2 linked regions of the Nothobranchius furzeri genome follow. The protein of the gene in region 1 interacts with the protein of each later gene in a pairwise test. Links are inferred from orthologs where the notes say so. Each region holds a gene or a part of one and is shown on either strand. Other genes may lie near its edges.

Region 1 (4,596 bases):
GTCATTTCAGAGCATCTGATGATGAGGAGGCTACACTGACTCGTGTTCCTTTAGAAAACTTCTTTTGTCACCATGACCATGTGCTTATTTCAACAGGTGAAGTCAACATGTCTGTTTTTATGAAGCTTCATCTTTTTGTTTAGGAAACTACTGTGATGCTTTGCTGATGTTCTGATCATTGTTCCAAACTTATTATTTCTCTCCCAACAATAATCTTAAGTACGTGAATCAGAGTTCCGCACATGCGGCTCTACCTTTTTTTGTTTCCAGACATTGATAGAACACTCTTGGTTCCCCAGCATCAGTGACCAATGAGCATTTTTGTTTTCTGAAAAGGAAATTTGAGATGCCGAGCCTTTTTACCAACAAGCACACCTGAGAGTATCTTCTATCAATTTTTGCATGGGAGCAGTTCAGTATGAGGTCACAAGGCTCCATAACAATTGGTCACTGTGCAGCACTTTGGTCAGCTCTCACGCTGTATTTTAAATGTGCCATATAAATAAAGTGGTATGGTCAAAACAACATAAGAAAAAACCAACAGGTAGCCTTCTCTGTTCTGGAGTGCATCAGTAGCGCTCAGGAGGACCAACCGCATCATCAAGGACTCTAACCACCCACAACACAAGCTGTGCAGCTTCCATCAGAGAGATGCTACATTTCTGCAGCCAGAACCACCAGACTGATCACTCAGGCACAGGCAACCCACCACTTCCTCTCTCTGGAAAACCACAGGCTTGTCTGTGTCTAGAGGAGTGAAAATGTTTAACAGCAGCCCTCAGTCCTAACTCAAGTTTGTACATAGACTCCTAATAAAAGCTTAAAGTCTTTGAAATAATTTTATTGCTCATAATTTTACACATTTTTCTCATTTTCACCTTTTTTAGCTTATACTGTTGTTTTCTAAATTAGACAGGCTAAACTGTCTCAATTTATTTTACATTTTTCCATCTGTTGTTTGACAGACTGCTGTTTGATTATTTTTTATTATATTGCCTAGTTTTATTCAGTGTTTTGTTTAATATATTGTGTTTGTTTCTAACTTAATTTTGTCTTACAAGCCAGAGGATGGAAATCAAATTTCACTGTGTGACATTATCTTAGGTGCACAAGTGTAACAGAATGAAATCAAGTTAAAAAAAAAATACTTGACATTTGTTGCCGAATAAAATGGCACCATTGCAAAAGGCTGCCTTGGGAGGTTTGTTCTTGTATCCAGTATAGTCTGACTCTTGTAAGATGAGGAAGTGTTTACAAAGTGAAAAACTAAGGTATTAGAAGAAATTAATATTTGTAATATTTTTATGAATTATGTCAGTGCTTTTCTTTTAATTCCAAAAATATTTTTGCATTATTTTTCATGGCCTGTCTACATTCTGGATGTTGATCACAACATTGGAAATGGTGGGGAAAAGGCCATGCATGCCTCATCTCTTAGTTTAATCCTAATGTTTTATAATTCACAATAGGGTTTCATTGCACTGGCAAAGATTTTGTACAGCACACACATTTATTTTTGGAGCTAATCTTCATTTTGTTAAATAATCTTCATCAAGAGTGATTGAACTTTTCTTTACTGATGAAAACTGACATTTTTATAACAGATTTGTTTGAACTTGTCATCCAGAACCACAGAAACTAGGGTCTTCATGTGACCGTAGATCTTCACAACATATTGATTGTACGCACACCGACGACCACAGTACATACAACTCATCTAGACTGTTTATAGCTTTAAACTTAGGCTCTAAGGGGGCGTGTCTGTTCAAAAGTCAGCCCTCTACACCGGCGGGGACGCGCATCACTTTTAGCGACATCCACCATGGCTGCTACATCGAACTGTAAACCTGTTTTAAAGTGTTTTCTTTATTTGTCCTTACTGTTTGCTGGTGTGTTTTGCGATGGGGAAGCAGAAGAAGATGAGCACGCCAAGCACACGTACACGGTGGAGATGTTTAACGAGGCGGTGCCCACTGCACCTCACTTTGTCATGTTTTACGCTCCATGGTAAGTGACCAACATTAGGTTTATTTAAAATGACGTTTCTTGAAATCATTGAAGATAGCATTAATGTGTTTTAAGCGATGTATCTAAGCACGAAAAACCACAACACAGATCGTACAACACTGCTAAACGAGCTTACCGGCAAACTGGCTAATTAGCATGTAAGCTAGGTGGTTACCTAAATCCCTTTAAAGTCAACCAGTCCGGTTAGCCTCGCTGCTAACTAGCTTAGCCGAGTATTAGCAACTTCTGTGTGTTGTTTAGGTGCTATTTCTGGAAGCTTTTGTGTATTTTTAGTTGTGTTCGGTATTTATTCAAACAGCTTTTGTGCAAACTTTTTGCTTTGGGTAGAAATATTAAGAGATACGAGCACAAAATTAAAGTGGAAGTTACGCTTACGTGGCACGCGCTGATTGACCCGTTATGTCATTGGTTTCAATTTGTGGTCCACGGCCCCCAAAGGCCCTTCACAATAAAGAGCTGTAACTAGTGTAGGTAGAAGTTTATATCACTGTTATTTGATTTGTCTCTTCATCCCAAACTGTAAATTGTTGCATTATTATGTGGTTTTTGACACAATTTAGAAAAACACACTTCATTCTTTTACTAATGTCAACACATTTTCCTTTGTAAAATTTGTGAACTACTAATTACTGATCATGGTCTTACCTGAAGTAGAAATTGGTGAACGTTCTGAGTGTAGAGACCTAAAGAGGATTTATGTCGAACGCTGTAAACGTCCTGATGCTCTGAGCACGGCCACCAGAAGAGTACCAACTATGAACTAACATTTAATAAAGGTATAGCCAGTGTTTTGCATCATTTTTGCATCTTCTGTGAATGAGTTACAGGTTGTTTTGTGTTGCAGCGTTGTCAGCAGTGTATCCAGTATTGTCCATGAAATGCAAAACCGTAATTCAGAAAAGTCCCGACCTATGCAACTGTCCAAGACAGTAGTGTTGCATCATTAGGTCAAGTTTAAGATGGCAAAGGGTAACTTTTTCTGGCGACCAGGGTTAATGTGGGTGGCTGCATTTAGTGTACAGGTCAATAAGAAATTTACACAGCTGCAAACAACATTTTTGATCCACAAATCTCACAGATCATGTCATTTCCAAATGAATTCCATTTAACGGGTCCGAGTTCTCACAGGTTTGCACAATGCATCATCAGACAGTTCATACTTCAGCTAAAGTGTAATCTGTTGAGGTTTTCAACAGAGTGAGATTTCAGTGTTTACTACCGTTTCCAGGTGCGGCCATTGCCAGCGACTCCAGCCTACATGGAATGAACTGGCAGACAAGTACAACAGTATGAACGACCCCCCAGTATATGTGGTAAAGGTAGACTGTGTCCAGGACACCAAGTTTTGCTCCAATGTGCACGGCGTTAGAGGCTATCCCACGTAAGTAACTGGGTTATGTCTGCAGCCACACGCACACACACACACACACACACACACACACACACACACACACAGTGCCAGTGTAGACAGAACTAATGCCTGCCTGTATCTGTTTTTGTTCTACATGTCTGTGTGTCTAATCTTGGTCAGGCTGTCTTGCAGAGACACATTGTTATGCTCCAGGAAGCTGGGGCAATGAAAATAAAGTTGTTTCTGATTCTGATCCATATCTGATGGTCCATAAACACAGAGCAGTGGCTGTTTTACTGGAAGCTGCTAAACTTATGGATCATCACAAAAGGAATAAACTTTTTATTATTCATGAACTTCAGGCCACAATGCATGCAAAATATTTTCAACTTAGCCTTTAAAATGACTACTTTACCTGTTTGTTTGGTCACATCAGGTCTACTAACAATCAGGAGTTGGTAAATCCTCCCACAGTAAAGCTAAGATTCAGTAATTGTGAGCCCATGTTTGTTACTGTTCTTTATCACAGTAAAAATAAACATTCAGAAAGTCTTCATTAAATAAGGGAATAAGGGATAACTGCTCAGGTTAAAAGCCTGTCAGATTGTGGACAGGTCATAGTTTTAATTAAAGATCAACATAATTAGTTTACATATCTGCTATCTTAACAGCCCGTTCTCCTTTCTTGTTGCTGACTTCATTCAAACACCATGAATGATTGACTTTTCTTGTGATTCTCCAGAACTTACTGAACCGAATCAGTTACTCTTTCCTTAAATAGTCTCACCTTTTCTTCTGGTCTGTTTTTAAATGTAGGTTAAAATTGTTTAAGCCAGAGCATGAAGCTGTAAAGTATCAAGGTCCCAGAGATCTGCAGTCTTTGGAGACGTGGATGCTAAAGACACTCCAGGAGGAGCCTTCAGTGAGTCTTGTTTTACTCATTAATCAGCTCAAATCTCCAAACATGTGTTTTACAACCAGGAATGTTCCTCATGTTTTTTGTTGGATGCCCTAAAGGAACCAGAGAGTGAGCTGGAGCCTCCAAAAGCCCCCGAGCCCAAACAGGGCCTGTATGAGCTCACTGCCGGCAACTTTAAGGAGCACATCTCTAAAGGTGAGGATCTTATTTGTGTATGCACCTGCTGAAACAACAGGAGTTTCGCTTTTGTCCCATATTTGAATGAATTTTCAGTTTTCAGTCACACTCAGGTCCTGTT
Region 2 (3,818 bases), on another chromosome or scaffold:
TTCCTGCAGCCACGATAAGCAGCACACGTCACCTCAGTCTGGACAGGAGGTTGTTGAGGTTTCGAGGGCACAGTGACTCCTGGAACGATTCGGCGGCCTTCACAGCCCGCAGTCCCGCCCAGGCTGGGATAGGAGACAGAGTTGCCATAGCGATGGTAGCATTCCTCATTTCTTCTGAGGGGGGAGTATTCGTTGCAGCCTTACACGCTCAAGGGCACCAGATTCAGATTAGAAATTGTTTTGGGGCCAGACAGAGATAATTTCCTCTCTGTCTTAAAGTTCCGTTGGGCCTTAACCCCTCAAAATCCCAATAATGGCGTAAATTTAAAAATTTTATCAATCGCGTTAAATGACCAACTGACAATATCCATTTTAGTAATTTCAGTTTCCAGAAAAAATGCAGAAGCAGCCGTGCACCCAAAGACAGACAAAGAGCCTTGAGGGTAAGATAGGGAGGAGAGGAGGAAAAAAGCGTCTGCACTCTACAAGAGCCGGAAGAAGTTAATATTGGCGTCAGTTTTTTTCATCCTGATTGTTTCACTCTTCTCTCCTCAGCTTGGGATTCTTATCTCTCTGTCTCATGAGAAGGAGCCTCTGGGAACCGGTGAGTGTCTCGTCTCCAGACAAAACCAAAAATAATCTTGAGTGTTGTGTCCAGGATCTTTTAAAACTGGTCTAGAGACTCCAGGTAATTTATTTCACCAAAATAATTCCAGAACACTGGAATAGTTTTATCATCCGTGGATTAAAACAAAACAAAAATGAGCCTGGAAATGTTACCAAGAGTTTGATTATAAGCAGAGATGCTCCGGCGCTGGATAAATGAGTCATTTCATGAATGAATTGCTAAAAATCTCAAGTTTGAAAGGAAGAGGGAGCTCCTCTGTAATTTAAGATTAAGATCAAACAAAAATAAAAGTAAAACATCATCTCAGATTTCCTGTTTTAAATCCATTTAGACTTGGTTCAACATTTTAATAAATCTTCTGAATTTAACTAAGAAAATTTGTCTGTTTCTGCTCAGCGGGACCCCTGGCATTGGCTCGAGACCTGCTGAACGTCGATAACGAGCCATTCTTTGTCCTCAACTCTGATGTCATCTGTGATTTTCCCTTCAAAGATCTGCTGCAGTTCCACCAGAACCACGGCAAGGAGGGAACCATCGTGGTACGATGCAGACTTTGTAGAGGTTAAAGATGTGATTTCTGGTTTATCAGGCTAAAATAGGTAGAAAACATCCAGGAGCAGAAGGTCTCGTCAGACTCAACATTTATTTACATGATTTAAAATCTCATGCTTGTAGAGCCACGTGATTGATGCCTTAGAACTTCAGCTGATGCGAAACGATTTATTTGACCTTTTTCTTTCATTGAGTAGCTAATGACACACACACACACACACACACACACACACACACACACACACACACACACACACACACACACACACACACACACACACACACACACACACACGTTGCAAATTCAGTACCCACCCTGCAAACAAACTATGTTAAAGTAGAAAAAATCTTTTAATTTGTTTTGATGTTGCTGCCCCCTGGTGGCTGTAGTTGATATTGGGAATTTCATCAAATGTTTTTATTTAAAACGTAAAAACAAAAGGCCCTAATGTCTTTGTGAGTCGATCTGCTGATTTTAACCTGGGTGTGTGTTTGTTTGAAGGTGACGCGAGTGGAGGAGCCCTCCAAGTACGGTGTGGTGGTATATGAGTCCGACAGTGGGAGGATTCAGCGCTTCGTCGAGAAGCCGCAGGTCTTCGTCTCCAACAAGATTAACGCTGGCATGTACATCTTCAATCCCAGCGTGCTTAGCAGAATCCAGGTGAAGCTCACTCGCTATACTGACGTTACTGTTGTTTTTATCATGTAAAGTTAAGCAGCAGAATAGATACGTTTGGATATTTAAACACAGATTTAGTTGTTGTTCTTTGTTATTTATGGCCTGCTTTTTTGTGTTTGTGTGCAGCTCAGACCGACATCCATCGAGAAGGAAATATTTCCCATCATGGCAGAAGAGGGTCAGCTGTACACCATGGAGCTGCAGGGTAACTATTAAATACGCTTTGGTTTATTCAGCTCAGAGCTGAAGCTCTCGACATACCAGTCCTGTAACAGACAACCAACGGTTGGAACTTAGAGCAAGAAAAGAGCAAACAGAAAAAAGTACAAATGTAGCTTGGAAAGTTCAGTCTGTTTTTGATGCAAAGAAAATTAAATTGATCCTAGATTCATTTTCTAGAAGTCTCTGTAGTTAAACTAAAGACACACTCAGTGGCTTCAGTTCAAAGGAAGGTCTTGTTGGAAGCTGACACGTTTTGCTCATTCTGGTCTCAGCAGCTCCCAGCTCCACCAGACGTAAGTGTTTGGGTCTTTCCTCACATCCAAACTCATTTAGTTCAGCTTCTGCATGTAGAGAAGCACTGATGTGTTTAAAAAGACAGAACTAGATTTGCAGATGAGTCGATTTTTATCAGGAAAAGATGACTGGAGGGATTCTGGTGCTTCTGTACATCCTCCTTCCTGAGCAGTAACCCCCCCCCCCCCCCCAGTAGATAAACCAGAATTTCCTGTTCCGGATTTAATCTGAAAGTTTTACCTGCCATAATGCCCTACGTCACATCCTGAGGTTTATGAGCAGTAGTTGGTTCCTTTAAATGTTTGATTTTTTATTTTTATTTTTTTTTCAATAAATAAAAAAAAACACAGCTTATTCATATACATCCAAACCACAGAGTTGAGCTTTTATTCATGTGTATTTAGCTGAATTTCCTATAGAAGCCATAAAGTCCTGTTGCTGGTCGGTAATTTGCCTGGTGGAGATTATCTGTTGAAACCTGGTTGTTTCCATGGTAACAGCTTTTGACTGTCGGGCTGTTGTTCCGTCTGCACCTTAGGTTTCTGGATGGACATCGGTCAGCCGAAAGATTTCCTCACAGGAATGTGTATGTACCTCCAGTCGCTACGGCTACATGCTCCTGAGAGGCTTCATACAGGGCCTGGTTTCCTTGGCAACGTCCTGGTGGTCAGTTCGGCTTTTTGACCATATAGAGGAAAAAACAAAAAACGATACCTGTGGTGATGTGTAGCGTCTGTCCTCATTTTTCCTGTGAAGGACCCGTCGGCGCAGATCGGGGAGAACTGCTCCATCGGGCCCAACGTCACCATCGGTGCCGGTGTGGTCATCGAGGATGGGGTGAGGATAAAACGGTGCACGGTGCTGAAAGGATCGAGGGTTCGGTCCCACTCTTGGTTGGAGAGCTGCATCGTGGGATGGAGCTCCTCCGTTGGTCAGTGGGTGAGTAAACTTCCTTCACGTGGATCAGATTATAATTCATGTGTTGGCCTGGTTCACTGGTTCAAGACCCCGAAGAAGTCCAGGTATTCCCAGGTCATCTTTTTAAACTGGAGTCTGAATAAAGCATCATTGTTGTTTTTTAGCAGCTGGGTGACAGGAAGTCGTGAGCAGGACATGTGTTTACTTGTAAAACCTAGGATCTTGTTGTGTTTGTGTTTAGAAGTGATGACGGTTTTATGTCTCTGTTTTAAGGTGCGTATGGAGAACGTGACGGTGCTGGGGGAGGACGTGATTGTGAACGATGAGCTTTACCTGAACGGCGCCAACGTCCTGCCTCATAAATCCATCAATGAATCGGTACCAGAGCCACGAATCATCATGTAGCATCGGGAGAGAAAAGAAATATCAAAGATAATTTTATAAACTGAACGCCCAAAAATGTGCCAGAGAGATGGAGGTGATCACACAGATGGAGGAAGAACAAATGGAATTTTATTCCCTTAT

What was found.
Region 2: the proteins of txndc5 (region 1) and gmppb interact in a two-hybrid assay, tested with the Homo sapiens proteins (2 studies listed by BioGRID and IntAct). The two-hybrid records come from large-scale screens. The link is inferred for Nothobranchius furzeri from reciprocal best matches to the Homo sapiens genes TXNDC5 and GMPPB.

Annotation. Positions count from the first base shown.
Region 1 is NC_091747.1:42,292,000-42,296,595, reverse strand, and holds the start of txndc5 (thioredoxin domain-containing protein 5), read left to right. Parts: upstream 1-1,779; 5' UTR 1,780-1,822; coding exon 1,823-2,007; intron 2,008-3,256; coding exon 3,257-3,409; intron 3,410-4,195; coding exon 4,196-4,301; intron 4,302-4,396; coding exon 4,397-4,493; intron 4,494-4,596. UniProt on the Homo sapiens protein: Protein disulfide isomerase of the endoplasmic reticulum lumen involved in the formation of disulfide bonds in proteins. Can reduce insulin disulfide bonds.
Region 2 is NC_091743.1:68,662,844-68,666,661, reverse strand, and holds part of gmppb (mannose-1-phosphate guanylyltransferase catalytic subunit beta), read left to right. Parts: intron 1-555; coding exon 556-604; intron 605-1,024; coding exon 1,025-1,167; intron 1,168-1,682; coding exon 1,683-1,841; intron 1,842-1,985; coding exon 1,986-2,064; intron 2,065-2,913; coding exon 2,914-3,041; intron 3,042-3,131; coding exon 3,132-3,314; intron 3,315-3,566; coding exon 3,567-3,698; 3' UTR 3,699-3,818. UniProt on the Homo sapiens protein: Catalytic subunit of the GMPPA-GMPPB mannose-1-phosphate guanylyltransferase complex. Catalyzes the formation of GDP-mannose, an essential precursor of glycan moieties of glycoproteins and glycolipids. Can catalyze the reverse reaction in vitro.